Linked DNA regions of Coturnix japonica. The protein of the gene in region 3 binds, or shares a complex with, the protein of the main gene of each other region. Links are inferred from orthologs where the notes say so. Each region holds a gene or a part of one and is shown on either strand. Other genes may lie near its edges.

Region 1 (3,559 bases), on a different chromosome or scaffold from region 3:
TAAAAGAAAAAGATTTCCATTGGTAGCTGTATATGGATGGAAATGAAGGCATCTGGGGAAAAACTAACAGAGGAGGGCAAAGAACCTGGAAGATTCTGCTGTGGGATTTGGTCACACCAAGCCCTTCTATGGCACACATCCTGTAAAGCTCTGTACTCACTTCCCCTTACAAATGCAGGACCCAGAAATTTCTAGAGCTGAGTGTACACAAACTAAAAGCTGGTTTTGGTTAAGGCAGTTTAATTCACCTATTCAGTAGCAGTTAAAGAATAAAAACATAGAAAGCAGTAACAATTCCACTTGTATAAGGAAGATTAAAAAAAAACCAAATTTTTACTCAAATGATGTTACACCTGCAAAAATGCAAGTAAAATAAACAAACTCCAGCCTATGCTTGTTGCAGACCTATGCTACAAAGTGTCTTTCTTTTCCTTCTTCCATTCTGCTACACTATCCCAGTCAAAAACAGATTTTATTGCTGGTATTTTCGCTTAACTTCGATACGTGCATCTAAATGGCAGTTACAAAGCAGTATGATCAATTTCTCCTGATTCAGAACTACTTCAGGAAAGTTTTTAAGAATGCAAAAAGACTGCAAGTAAAAACCATTGCTTCCACTGCTTGTTTATACAAGGTAATTCCTCTCACTACTAGCATAGCAGACACTGACACAAAGCAAGGCCAGAATAGCTTGCAGTAGTATTCGTGCAATAAGTGACACCACACTTTAAAAGAATACAAGACATGAAAACTAAGTGAAATTAAGAAGATTCAGAGAAGAAAGCATTTGCTGAGATCCAGTCCCTCTAGCAGTTAGCCTACCTGCTGGCAGATGATCCATTTAGTGAATTCTGTAGGCTTGTATTGGCTGAACCAAGAGAGGCGTTAAAAATCCCCTGCTGGGAACCACCGTTGACTGGACTCCCGTTACCTTTCAGTATACCAGTACACTTCCAGTTGTCCATGTAATTAGCTGCAAATGTACACAGACAGAAACTGTTAGTTTGGACTCTGAAAGTTATGGTATTTCAACTGCAGGGTATCTGGTGTGAATTAGAAATCTACTTCAGCACCAACATATATATTCTGAGTAGCTGGTCCTTTAGCTGCTTGGCATCCTCTGCTTATCCATTATTTAAACCTACATTTTGTTCAGTGGTAAGAATGAGTTTGCTTTATCCTTAATAATAGGCCAACTGAGAAACTACTGAGAACAGATGAGGAAACTGCCTGAGTTTTGTTGTCACTGCTTGAAATTGGAACAGAAATATAAAAAAGCTCAAAGGGAATAAAAGAAGAAGCCAGATTGCCTGAATACTGTTTTAACAGAACACAGTTTCACAGGGTTTGGCAGCAGGCAAAGACAACAACTCAATACAAATTAGTTCCAAATAGTGACAATTTTACATAGCTGTGATCTGCTAAAACAATTCAAGGTTACCAGATATAGCACAGTAACAGCTATTCACAGAAACTTAAATCATGCCCATGTTCCAGCACTGTATTTGCTTTTTTGTCCGGAACATCAGTGTAAAAACATATCATTCACTGATCTAACAACCTTTTACACCAAAAAAACTTCCTTGAATACATTCAGCATAGCACAAAGCTGATGAACTTGAAGCAGAAGACCTGTAGAGTTCTTACCCTTCCAAAGCCTAACGCAGCCGTCATCACCAGAGGAGGCCAGCACCGTGCCCGTGATGTTCCAGCTGACTCGCCACACCTGGGAGTTGTGATTGTCAAACTGTGCCACGATGTGAATTTCAAACTTTGTTAATCCTCCAGATGAAGTCAGCTCTTTCCTGTTAAAGAGAGGAGGGACAGTTTTGCACACAACTTCTGGCTTGAATACGACGACAAAAAGAGGACTAGATCCTTCAAGAAATGTACTTAGCAGCTGTATAATACATTAGGAGTACTAAGAGATATCCTTTGCATCTCAGGTACTACTAAGAAAGACTCTACAGGATGCACCGTATCATACTGAACCATGCTCCAGTTGTCCTTTTAAGCTCACCTTAGAGGTTTTAGTGTGAAAATCCGTACATCTTTGGTTGCCACAGCTAAGATGTGAAAGGACCTTCCCAGATTTGGGGCAAACGCAATATCGTGCACAGGATCTGTGACTGTCATCAAAGCTTCTGCTTTCGCATATTTCCTGTTGGGCATGAAAAATTACCATTAGTGCCATTAAAACTGCCAGGCTCACTAATCATGTAAAGTAGACATAACAGAGCAGGGAAAAGGTGGTTGGTTAGGATACATAACGATGCACAGCTGTAATTATTTTAACATAAATTACATTCTAGCTAATAACTACAAGCTGATTTCTTCAGAAAGTGAATTCATCAGATACGTTAACTACTAATGTCATAACAATGAATGTATGGGAACTGTTGAGTCATGGCCTGAGCCACTGGATGATCACGTGGGGAAAGGACTTGGTCAGCCCTGGGAGCACAGGTGAAGGCAATTCAGCTGTGTGACCGGAAGGAATTCCTTGTGCAAAATTCTGCACAAAAACTTAGCAGAAGAATAAAAGCCACTTTCCCTTTAAAGTTCCAGTAGGAACACTAGAGTTTCTGTGCTGACAGAATAAAATTATCAAAATCTGCCATTTCCTTCGAAATCTGTTAGCATTCTGAGGTGCCTCTCCTGTCCAAAGCCTTACAGACAAAATTGAGGAGTATTATTATTTCCCCCTTCACTCCATAAGGAACAACAGGAACGAAACAGAAGGCTGGACATTACAAGCTATTCTAAGATCCCATAAATACACTGTTATTTAGCATACCTGGTATTTTCATTGTATTCATAAATCTGAACTTTAGCCAATATATTTGGACTGTTGTCGTCACTTCCGACAGCTATCATTGGAGAATGTGCTCTGGAGCTGGAAGTAAAAAGATACAAATTCTGTTACTAATTATTTCACAAGTAACTTCCAAAATTTAAGACACACCTGTATATAAAACAAAAAGATTGCCTAGAAAGAAATACAAAGTATCATTCATAGTTACCAGTACTACCTCAACTCTGTTCTCTTGAATGTCTACCTTATACAACAAATAAAGATAAACCATTAAGGGACACTATTTGGAATTTAGTTCAGGACAACAGATGCCCCCAGACATCGAGATTAAATTCATAGATGTGTTTGCAGTGAAGTTTGCTCTAAGGAATATGGCAGAATCCGCATCCAATGCAGTACTCGCAGTGACTGATTTAGGGGGGTTTCATTCAGATTCTGGAAAACCAGTTACAAAAGGTATACGAGCACTAGTTTTTAAATCAACTTTTAGCACAGCTTCTGAGGGTGATGTAGAGATAAAGCCTATACTCTTAACCTTTAGGACAGATGACTTATGTATTCTTCAGGGTGGGGACAACCCAACCATCACATTCCTCTGGTCTCTTTCTGACCAAGTAGGTTAAATCATGACTGAGCCCCTGAAGATACAACTAAAGGAATAATACAACCCTTAGGCTTTGTGTTAGTAAAACCTGTGGTTCCTAGCACTGCTAAGGGTGCACATCCTTGTTACCTATGGTGACA
Region 2 (4,274 bases), on a different chromosome or scaffold from region 3:
TAAGCTCATATTTAAGACTTTACTAGCAGTTGCTTCAGAGTTAGATTTCACTCATACACTTTTAACTTAGTTCAGTATTAAGGACTTAGGGAAAACAGATAAGTGACAAAGATTTCTTGTACTCAATTATTCTATATACCTTATCTGCGGAGGTAAAGCATCAAGTCTAGTTTCTGGGCTCCATGCTATGGCATCAACTCGGATTCCATGATGAAATGTTCTTAGAGTCTTATACTGAATGCCTTCCACTTCTGCATCCTCTTCCTATAGAGATATGACAATTAACTAATCCAGAATAACATCTTTATGACTTCTAACAATTTGGATTGATATGAAACAGAAAGGCTTTCCAAGTTTGATGTACCTGCTGCAATAAAAAGTTGACTAGAAGTGCACGAGAGTCTCAAGTCAGAGTCAAATACTGGGCACAAAAATCAGATATTTGTGCTACAAATAAGAAGTTTCCAGATAGTACCACTGCAAATGTTGGTGACTGCTAAAATTAGGTTATCCTCCAGAAAAGCAGTGCTGCTTTCATTGAAGTCAACTTGGAGGCATATCAGCAGGACAGTATTTTATTCTAATTTGTATTTCTTAGGAAATATCCCAATTCATTAACATAGTAATTGATTAATCTAGTAAACGCTTCCTGGTAAAAAAGAGAAGACAGGAAAGCAGTTTTAGTCAGCTTAGGACTTTACCAGCAGAGATGCTTGCTGAGTTCTGGGAAGAAATGAATAAAACCAACAAACTAACACAAACCAACCTGAAATCTGCATGTTCCAACAACCACGTAATTGTTGCCACCATATGCAATGAGGGAGCATGCGTCTCCACTATCAAAAGGATTGAATGTTATCACATGCACATAATCTTCACAGTCCACAGTGTAAGTGGCGTTTCTAAGAGAATCTTGCTTCATTTTCAGGGAACTGTATCAAGGTATCACAGAAGCGATGTCTTTTACAGGATGAAGGTTGACATTCCTATACAGAAAGTATTAAAGAAAGTGCATTACACATTCACATAAGAAAAAAGGCATTTGTGGCACAACAAATCAAAATTTCCTATGACGCTGCATTAATGGACACAAGGTGAAATTAAGCTCAATATCTATAGATTTAGCACATAATTCCAACTATCAAGGAATTAACAAAACTAATTAACCTCAATAACTAGCATACATTCAAAACCACTTCTAGAGACTTAATTGATAGCTACAGATTTTGTGTTACTGCTGGCAACATAACACCAGGATTAACTACACACAACAGAAAAGTCACATTCAGAATGCTTCAGTTTTCAACCAAATGTCAAAAAACAATGTATTGTTACCTCCAAGTTCTTTACCCCATTGTACTGCTTTTAAAGGACATCTATTTATCTATTTAAAAGCAGAATCAAGACTGAAAAGACAGCAGATGAGAACACTGTCCTGCAGAATACTTAACCATGGCTTCATGACTGAAGTCAACCCATCTGCACACAGAGCATAGCCCCTATGCCTCTGTATTTCAACGAAAGTAGTTAGCTTTCATCTGGGGCTGAAGTATACCTCAGAATGAGCACTGTACTGTATTCAAGCACTTTTCAAGACAATCAGGCTCCTGTGCTGGCACCAAAGCAGCTTAGATACACAATTGATTATGGAACCTTCCCCCTTAATCCCAGTGCAGATTTTATATTAGTTTATTCCTTTTGGAATTTTTTTTTCTTTTTGCAACATTGAAAAATAGCTTTAAATTTCTCAGTGTATTTTGCTGTTAATGACCTGATGGTCTCAGAATCCAAGTCACAACATTTTGCTTGAGTGCTACCACAGGTTGTTGTGGACATCGCAGATATACAAATGCACCTTACATCTGCAATATTTGTTCTTTGATTAGCAAGATACACTATCCCACTGATATATATACTTCAGGCACATAACTTGCAGAGACATGCTCCTAAAGCCAAACACAATTTGTAACCTAATCTGTAACCGTTTTCCTTAAAGCCTTCCCAACATTGAATCATAGAATGGTTTGAGGTGGAAGGAACTTTTAAGTCCATCTAGTTGAACATCCCTGCAATGAGCAGGGACACCCACAGCTACATCAGGTGCTCAGCCTGACCTTGAGTGTCTCCAGGGATGGGGCATCCACCACCTCTCTGGGCAAACTGTGCCTCACCGCACTTACTATAAAAGACTTCTTCCCTTAGATCCCACCTAGGTCTCCTCTTTTTCAGCCTGAAACCATTTCACCCTGTTCTGTCACAACAGACCCCACTAAAGAGTCTGTCCCCTTTTCCTACAGCCCCCTCCAGATACAGAGAGACTGCTGCCAGCTCTCCCCAGAGCCTTGTATTCTCCAGGCTGCACAGCTCCCAGCTCCCTCAGCCTGAGAAAAGCAACTCTAGACTAACTTTAACTAAAAAAAAAAACAACCAACAAACCCTGATATTCATTCTTTACAGAATCACCACACGGACAACTGCGCCAACCCCTCACACAGACACACACAGACATCTCCATTCAGGGCTCTGCAATGCTTACTGAGAAAGCACAGCCTCACAACGCTACAGGGCCTCATAGAAGGCGGCCCAATCGCCTCTCCACGACCCGCTCGCCCCTCGGGACCCATCCGACCGAAGCATTGCACTCCCTCCCCTCAACCCGAAACAACCCCCCCCAACCCGAGCCGCCCCACACAGACCTCCACAGCCCCAGCCGGCCATACACACGCTAGTCCCCGCCAGCCGGCACCTCCCGCCCGTGTATCGCCGTGTGCTTCCGGGTCGGGGCTCGAGCTGCCTATTGGGCATCTGCCGAAGTTTTAAATGAAAACCGCCGATAGAGGATAGAGGTTGCTGGGCCTTCCGAGCGGATGGTGGAGTGCTTGGTCTCGGTCTCCTGGTTGTGCAGGTAGTGGCTATAGGCGAGCGAGAGCGCCTCAGCCGGCTGAGAGGGGCTTGGGTGCAGAGTAAACGGCTTAACGTGCTTAAAAGGGGAGCGACTTTAGGGAAGCCCTTGAGGTGCTTAAGGCTGGGTTGGATGGGGGCTCTGGGCAGCCTGGCAACTGAAATAGATAACGGAGACTTGCTGCCAAAGGGAATGGCAAATATGGTGACTTAAGGGAAGAAATGCTAAAAAGGCTTTGTATGTAGGTGACAAAAATACTCAAAAGTGCCTTCGTTAGTAAGTTGTGGAAACAATAGCAGATCTCTTGTTTAGGGAACCATTCTAGTAGATGTTGGTCTGAATGTGATGTGGTGAATATGAAAGGTGCTCTCTGGTGGCATTCAGGCTGTCTCGGTAGAGACAAAAGACTGTCCTGTCAAATTACTGTTATTATCATAGAATCATAGAATGGCCTGGGCTGACAAGGACCACAATGATCACCTAGTTTCAAACCAGACCAGGCTGCCCAGAGCCACATCCAGCCTGGCCTTGAATGTCTGCAGGGATGGGGCATCCACAGCCTCCTTGGGCAACCTGTTCCAGAGCTTCACCACCCTCTGAGTGAAAAACTTCCTCCTAATATCTAACCTAAACCTCCCTGTCTCAGTTTAAAACCATTCCCCCTTGTCCTATCATTATCAACCCTCTTAAACAGTTGTACCCCCTCCTGTTCATATGCTTCCTTCGAGGTTTCCCAGGAGCCTTCTCTAAGCTAAACAAGCCCAGTTCCCTCAACCTCTCCTCACAGGAGAGGTGCTCCAGCCCTGATACTCTTTCAAGCTAGTAAATATGCAAGGAGGACATGTCTTTATAAATATGTCATTCATGAGCGCTTTCTATCCCTTCTCGTGTAGTTTTTCTATCATTAGTGAGGTAAGTCTTGCTTGACAATGGGTTTGTGGGATAAGTGCGTTTTGTGGACTTAATATGGAAGAAGAAGCAATAGCATACACACTTAAGGTGAAGACATGCACAGGCCTCTCATGTTTGTGTGTTTACAATCATTTCTCTTAATTCTGTGTTCTACTTTAGGCAATGATTTCTTTCCAGCAAAAGATTTTAAACTTAATCAAATATTTCAGAAGACAATGGCCCTTATTTTCAAACTCAGAAAGAACTACTGTGTGTGGAGCAGATTGCATGCTGACAGCATTACAACTGTCCATGGCTGAAGTCAATAAACAGGTTAGCATTCTTTCTATATGTTCTTGGAACTTGGTGTATCTTAAACTTGGTGTGCTTGCTAAACTTTTGGTTTATCTATGTAAAACAATTGCTTTGCTCATTTCACTATTGTTTTTGATCTGAGGGTTAGATGCGGTAAGGTGTTGTA
Region 3 (4,351 bases):
GAAAACTTGAAATTAAAATAAACCTTTTTAACTAATTACTTTTTTCCCCTCAGTGCTGAAGAGTTGAAGAGTTACAGGGTTTTGGGTTTTTTTTGCGTGTTACTGATAAAACTCTGCCTTGTGCAACTTCTGTGTTTCTTCCTATGTTTTAAAATGACTTCCTGCAGTTCTCAGAGAGCTTCAGTAAAGAACTGTATGCAATTAATAGGATTTGCTTTGTGTGTGCATGTATACAGCCCTGCACACACAAATACCCCCCTCCAGAAATCCCAGGGAGCTTCATTCCTTAATTGGCTTATCACTGTCTAAGTTCCTTCATCTGTTCAATCTGAAGCAAGATTTCACTTGAGGAGAAACACAGGCAACGTGTCAAACTGAGGTTTCAGGGAGAAAGTTCCATTATCAATAATGCTGTTACTGCGCTTCATATCATTTCTGCTTTTGTTTTCCACATGCTACTCCATGAAGGCAGCAAGATGGAAATGCTGAGAATAAGCTTTGACACCTTCCACAAGCACTTGTTACTCTATTAGATAATTCTATCTCAAGAAACATGAACCCATTTCACTAAGTGAGAGATGACGGCTGTGAGCCATGGCACCTGGTACAACAGGGGACAAATAGTAACTTCTGGCTCCTTGTGCTCCTTTAGAACACACAAATTCTTTTCCACACAAATTGATGGTTTTGAGTATGGATAACACAAGGCTTAAGCTTACTATAAATAATGAATTGAAATGACAGTAGTTACCGACCCCTGCTTATAAACAATTGATGACACGATGCTTCTGGAAATAGAACTATCTCGTGCATTCTATCAGAGCATTTAATGACTCCAGATCAAACAGAAGCATTCTGGGAATGTTAAATCTTAAAACATCTCCACCAGTTAAAACATAACTTACAAACTGAATGCATATAGAAACATATCTGAAACATACTTCAAATACTTGTAAGTCTGGAGGAATGTAGGAATGACCTGGAGGAAATACATTCACCTTGGGATATTGAATTCAGTTCTCAATTGCTTTCCTTTCTGTCACACAATATTTTGGCTAAAATAAATATTCTATTCTATACACCAACCGAGATGTTCCAAACCAAAACATGCTGAGCATTGACTTGACATACCTATAGTCCTCACTGCATCCTTTTGGTCAGCTCTGAAGAGATTAATTCTACCATCTTCTCCGACAGTGACAATTTCTGGGTTGTTGCAGATGACTCCGGTACACGCTGCTCCACCACAAGCTGTGTATTGATCCGCGTGATAATGGGCGTTCTCCCACCGGTGACTGGCAGATAGAGTCTAAGTAGCAACCAGACATGAGATTCTGCTGGTAAATAACGATCCCGATTGAGTAAAGCTTTCGGAATACTCACAAATACTCATACAACTGGAAAGAAGCTCCAGGAAAGCCATAGTACCTCACTGCAATAGGAATCTTCTACATAAATAAGAACCAGAAATCTGAACTTCCTTGGTCTCCCTTCAGTGAGGCACTGTCTGCTCTGAACCATCTCTTTCACACAAGAGAGAGAACTTGGAATTAATAGGATCTATGTCTGAATATGAAGTATCTCTCACTAGACTTAGCCTCCAATCTTTTCCTAGGACAAAGAAATAGAACTTGAGCCTTTACAAAGTGTAAGATCAGATTTAGATTCTGATTGAAGGAAACTCGGTTTATCCTAAGTACCACATGAAACTATTAACAGATGTTAGTCTTTGTTGTGCCATGCAAATAAATAAAAGTACAAGTTCACTCATTCCCACTCCCTGAAATTATTTATTCTCATATATATAACCGCATAAAAACTCAAGTACATTTTTAGTGAGTGGTCTATTGCTTACAACATATTAACAGAACCCAATCTGTCTGGCTCTGGAATCTGATTTATGCTGTGTGTGTCGAAGATGTTTTTCTCCCTGTGCAGGTACAAAACCAAATCTACTTCTAAAATGCTTTGAAGAATTTATTGCTGACTCTGGATGCCTCCTGCTTTTAATTTGAGAAATCTCACGCTGAGATCCAAGGGACCCGCACTGCAGCTGCAGGTGCCTACCTGGTTGTTCTGATGATGCCGGAACACAGTCACGCTTCCTGTTGATGAGGCAACAACAATTCTCTCTTGATCCAAAAACTAAAGAGATTAACAAGCACGTTATGAGTTGATATCAACACCAGGATGGTGATTTTCAATTCAGAGTATTCAGATGTGTGGGTAGGTGCAGTAAAACACCCACAAACTGATACTCATTTAATTTGCCACTCTTCATAACTTTCTTTGTTAAAAGCCACAGAATGACCCGGGTTGGAAGGGACCTCAAGGCTCATGTAGTTCCAACCCCCAAGTCAGCTCCTTGTCACCCCGTTTGCCTCAGATGACGAGCAGCTCCCTCACCTGCATGTCCATCACGTCTCCGTTGTGCCGGATGTCACACAGCAGCTGAGGCTCTCCTTGATATTCCCCATTGAGGTCCGCGCTTCCCGCATCTCCCACAGACCACACGGAGATGCGGTTGTCCTGCAGGGAAACGACACGGCCGCTTTTACCTGTGGGCTGCGGACAAGGACTCCCCGGCGCCTGCGGGGCCCGAGGCGGGGGAGGCAGCGACCCGCCCGGTAAGGCCGTGCCGCGTTACCTCGTTGTCCCAGGAGCCGGTGGCGAAGAGCTCCGGGGGCTGCAGCGCGGCGGCGGGCAGGGGCCGCCATCGGGCCTTGCTGATCTTCTGCGACACGAACCGCGCGCACACCTCCTCCATGGCGCCGCACGGCTCCCGCCGCTGCCACGAGCCGCCTGATTGGCTGCGGCCCGACGGCGAGCGCCGAGGGACAGCGCCGGGAGCGGCGGAGAGCGCGGGCGGGCGGGCGTTCTTTTTCACCTCCAAATAGTACGCGGCCGAACGTTTGTGTATCACAAGCAGGATCCCCAGGGCAGCACTGACAGCCCCGAGGCAGCCGGAGCTCAAGGAGCGTCTGCATGACACGCTCAGACCGAGCTAGGGCGTGAATCCGGGTGGTGCTGCGCAGCGCCAGGCGCTGGGCTCTACGATCCCTTTGGGCCCCTTCCAGCGACTCATCACCAGAGCCATGAACAACTGCTGTGCACAAAGTTCAGGGGTCAGCTGTAAAGCGAGCTCCGCGATGACACGGCCGGGCCCATAGGCCATTCCCACAGGCACCTTCCCACTTCTTGCTGTGTTTTCTCACAGCTCGCACTGCCACTGGTTCTTCTCTTTGCTCAGGAGCGCTTGATGGAAAGCATTTGAAGGGAACTTACTCCCAGGAGGGGAGTAAACTCTTCGAAAGGGCTGACAATAGCAGGACACGGGGAAATGGTTTTAAGTTGAAAGAGGGAAGATTTAGGTTGGATGTTAGGGGGAAGTTCTTCACTAGGAGAGTGGTTAGGCCCTGGAACAGGCTGCCCAGGGAGGTTGTGGGATGCCCCGTCCCTTGGGAGGTGATTCAGAGACCGCAAGGTTTGGACGGGGCACTGGGGCAACCCTGATCTAGTAAAAGTCGTGTCATGTTCTGTTTTGCGGCCGGCTAGCCAGGCAGGGGGTTGGAACTACATGATCCTTGAGGTCCCTTCCAACCCAGGTCATTCTGTGATTCTGTGATTTGGGAAGCACTAAATCGAGTAGGAGGGGCACAGACTGTTTACACTGGGATGGGAAAAAGAAGCAATTTTTCTTCCCTGTCTTGTTTTTTTTTAAGTTTCTTTTGGCAGCACGTTCTGTGTTGGATTTAGGGCTGCTTTGTAGGCCTTTAATCTCCACATTTGATCATTATAAAAGATGGGTACTGTGTTAGCACGTTATTTCAGTATAAGATCAAATTCAATTAAACAAGTGAAAGAGAGAAACAAAGACCACAAGACAAAATGCCTCATCAAGCATTACTCAGGTTGTCAATAAGGACTTTAAGAGCAGACAATGCTGGTTCTGGGCGCTGGGCCCAAACATGCAGCAGAGGCAGAAATGAGTTTGTATGGGTTCACAGAATCACAGAATTATCAAGGTTGGAAAAGATCTAGAAGATCATCCAGTCCAACTATCACCAATACTTCCCAGCTAAATCATATCCCTCAACACAACATCCAGACGTTTCTTGAACACTCCCATGGTCGGTGACTCCACCACCTCCCTGGGCAGTGCATTCCAATGCCTGACTACCCTTTATGAGAAGTAATACTTCCTCATGTCCAGCCTGAATCTCCCCTGCCGCAGCTTAAAACCATTCCCTCTAGTTCTATCACTGATTACACGAGAGAAGAGGCCAACCCCCAGCTCACTACAACCCCCCTTCAGGAAGTTATAGAGAGAGTTATAGGTTGTTCTCATTGT

The links.
Region 1: NUP43 (region 3) and SEH1L share a complex: the UniProt entries of both Homo sapiens proteins name them as parts of the nup107-160 subcomplex of the nuclear pore complex. The link is inferred for Coturnix japonica from reciprocal best matches to the Homo sapiens genes NUP43 and SEH1L.
Region 2: NUP43 (region 3) and NUP37 share a complex: the UniProt entries of both Homo sapiens proteins name them as parts of the nup107-160 subcomplex of the nuclear pore complex. The link is inferred for Coturnix japonica from reciprocal best matches to the Homo sapiens genes NUP43 and NUP37.

Annotation. Positions count from the first base shown.
Region 1 is NC_029517.1:87,390,157-87,393,715, forward strand, and holds part of SEH1L (nucleoporin SEH1), read right to left. Parts: intron 2,897-3,559; coding exon 2,798-2,896; intron 2,162-2,797; coding exon 2,021-2,161; intron 1,806-2,020; coding exon 1,648-1,805; intron 974-1,647; coding exon 823-973; intron 1-822. UniProt on the Homo sapiens protein: Component of the Nup107-160 subcomplex of the nuclear pore complex (NPC). The Nup107-160 subcomplex is required for the assembly of a functional NPC.
Region 2 is NC_029516.1:56,800,370-56,804,643, forward strand, and holds the start of NUP37 (nucleoporin Nup37), read right to left. Parts: upstream 2,808-4,274; 5' UTR 2,697-2,807; intron 987-2,696; 5' UTR 923-986; coding exon 767-922; intron 265-766; coding exon 140-264; intron 1-139. Other genes in the region: PARPBP (PCNA-interacting partner), read left to right, coding at 3,977-4,126. UniProt on the Homo sapiens protein: Component of the Nup107-160 subcomplex of the nuclear pore complex (NPC). The Nup107-160 subcomplex is required for the assembly of a functional NPC.
Region 3 is NC_029518.1:43,395,622-43,399,972, forward strand, and holds the start of NUP43 (nucleoporin Nup43), read right to left. Parts: upstream 2,814-4,351; 5' UTR 2,768-2,813; coding exon 2,648-2,767; intron 2,530-2,647; coding exon 2,407-2,529; intron 2,146-2,406; coding exon 2,068-2,145; intron 1,310-2,067; coding exon 1,132-1,309; intron 1-1,131. UniProt on the Homo sapiens protein: Component of the Nup107-160 subcomplex of the nuclear pore complex (NPC). The Nup107-160 subcomplex is required for the assembly of a functional NPC.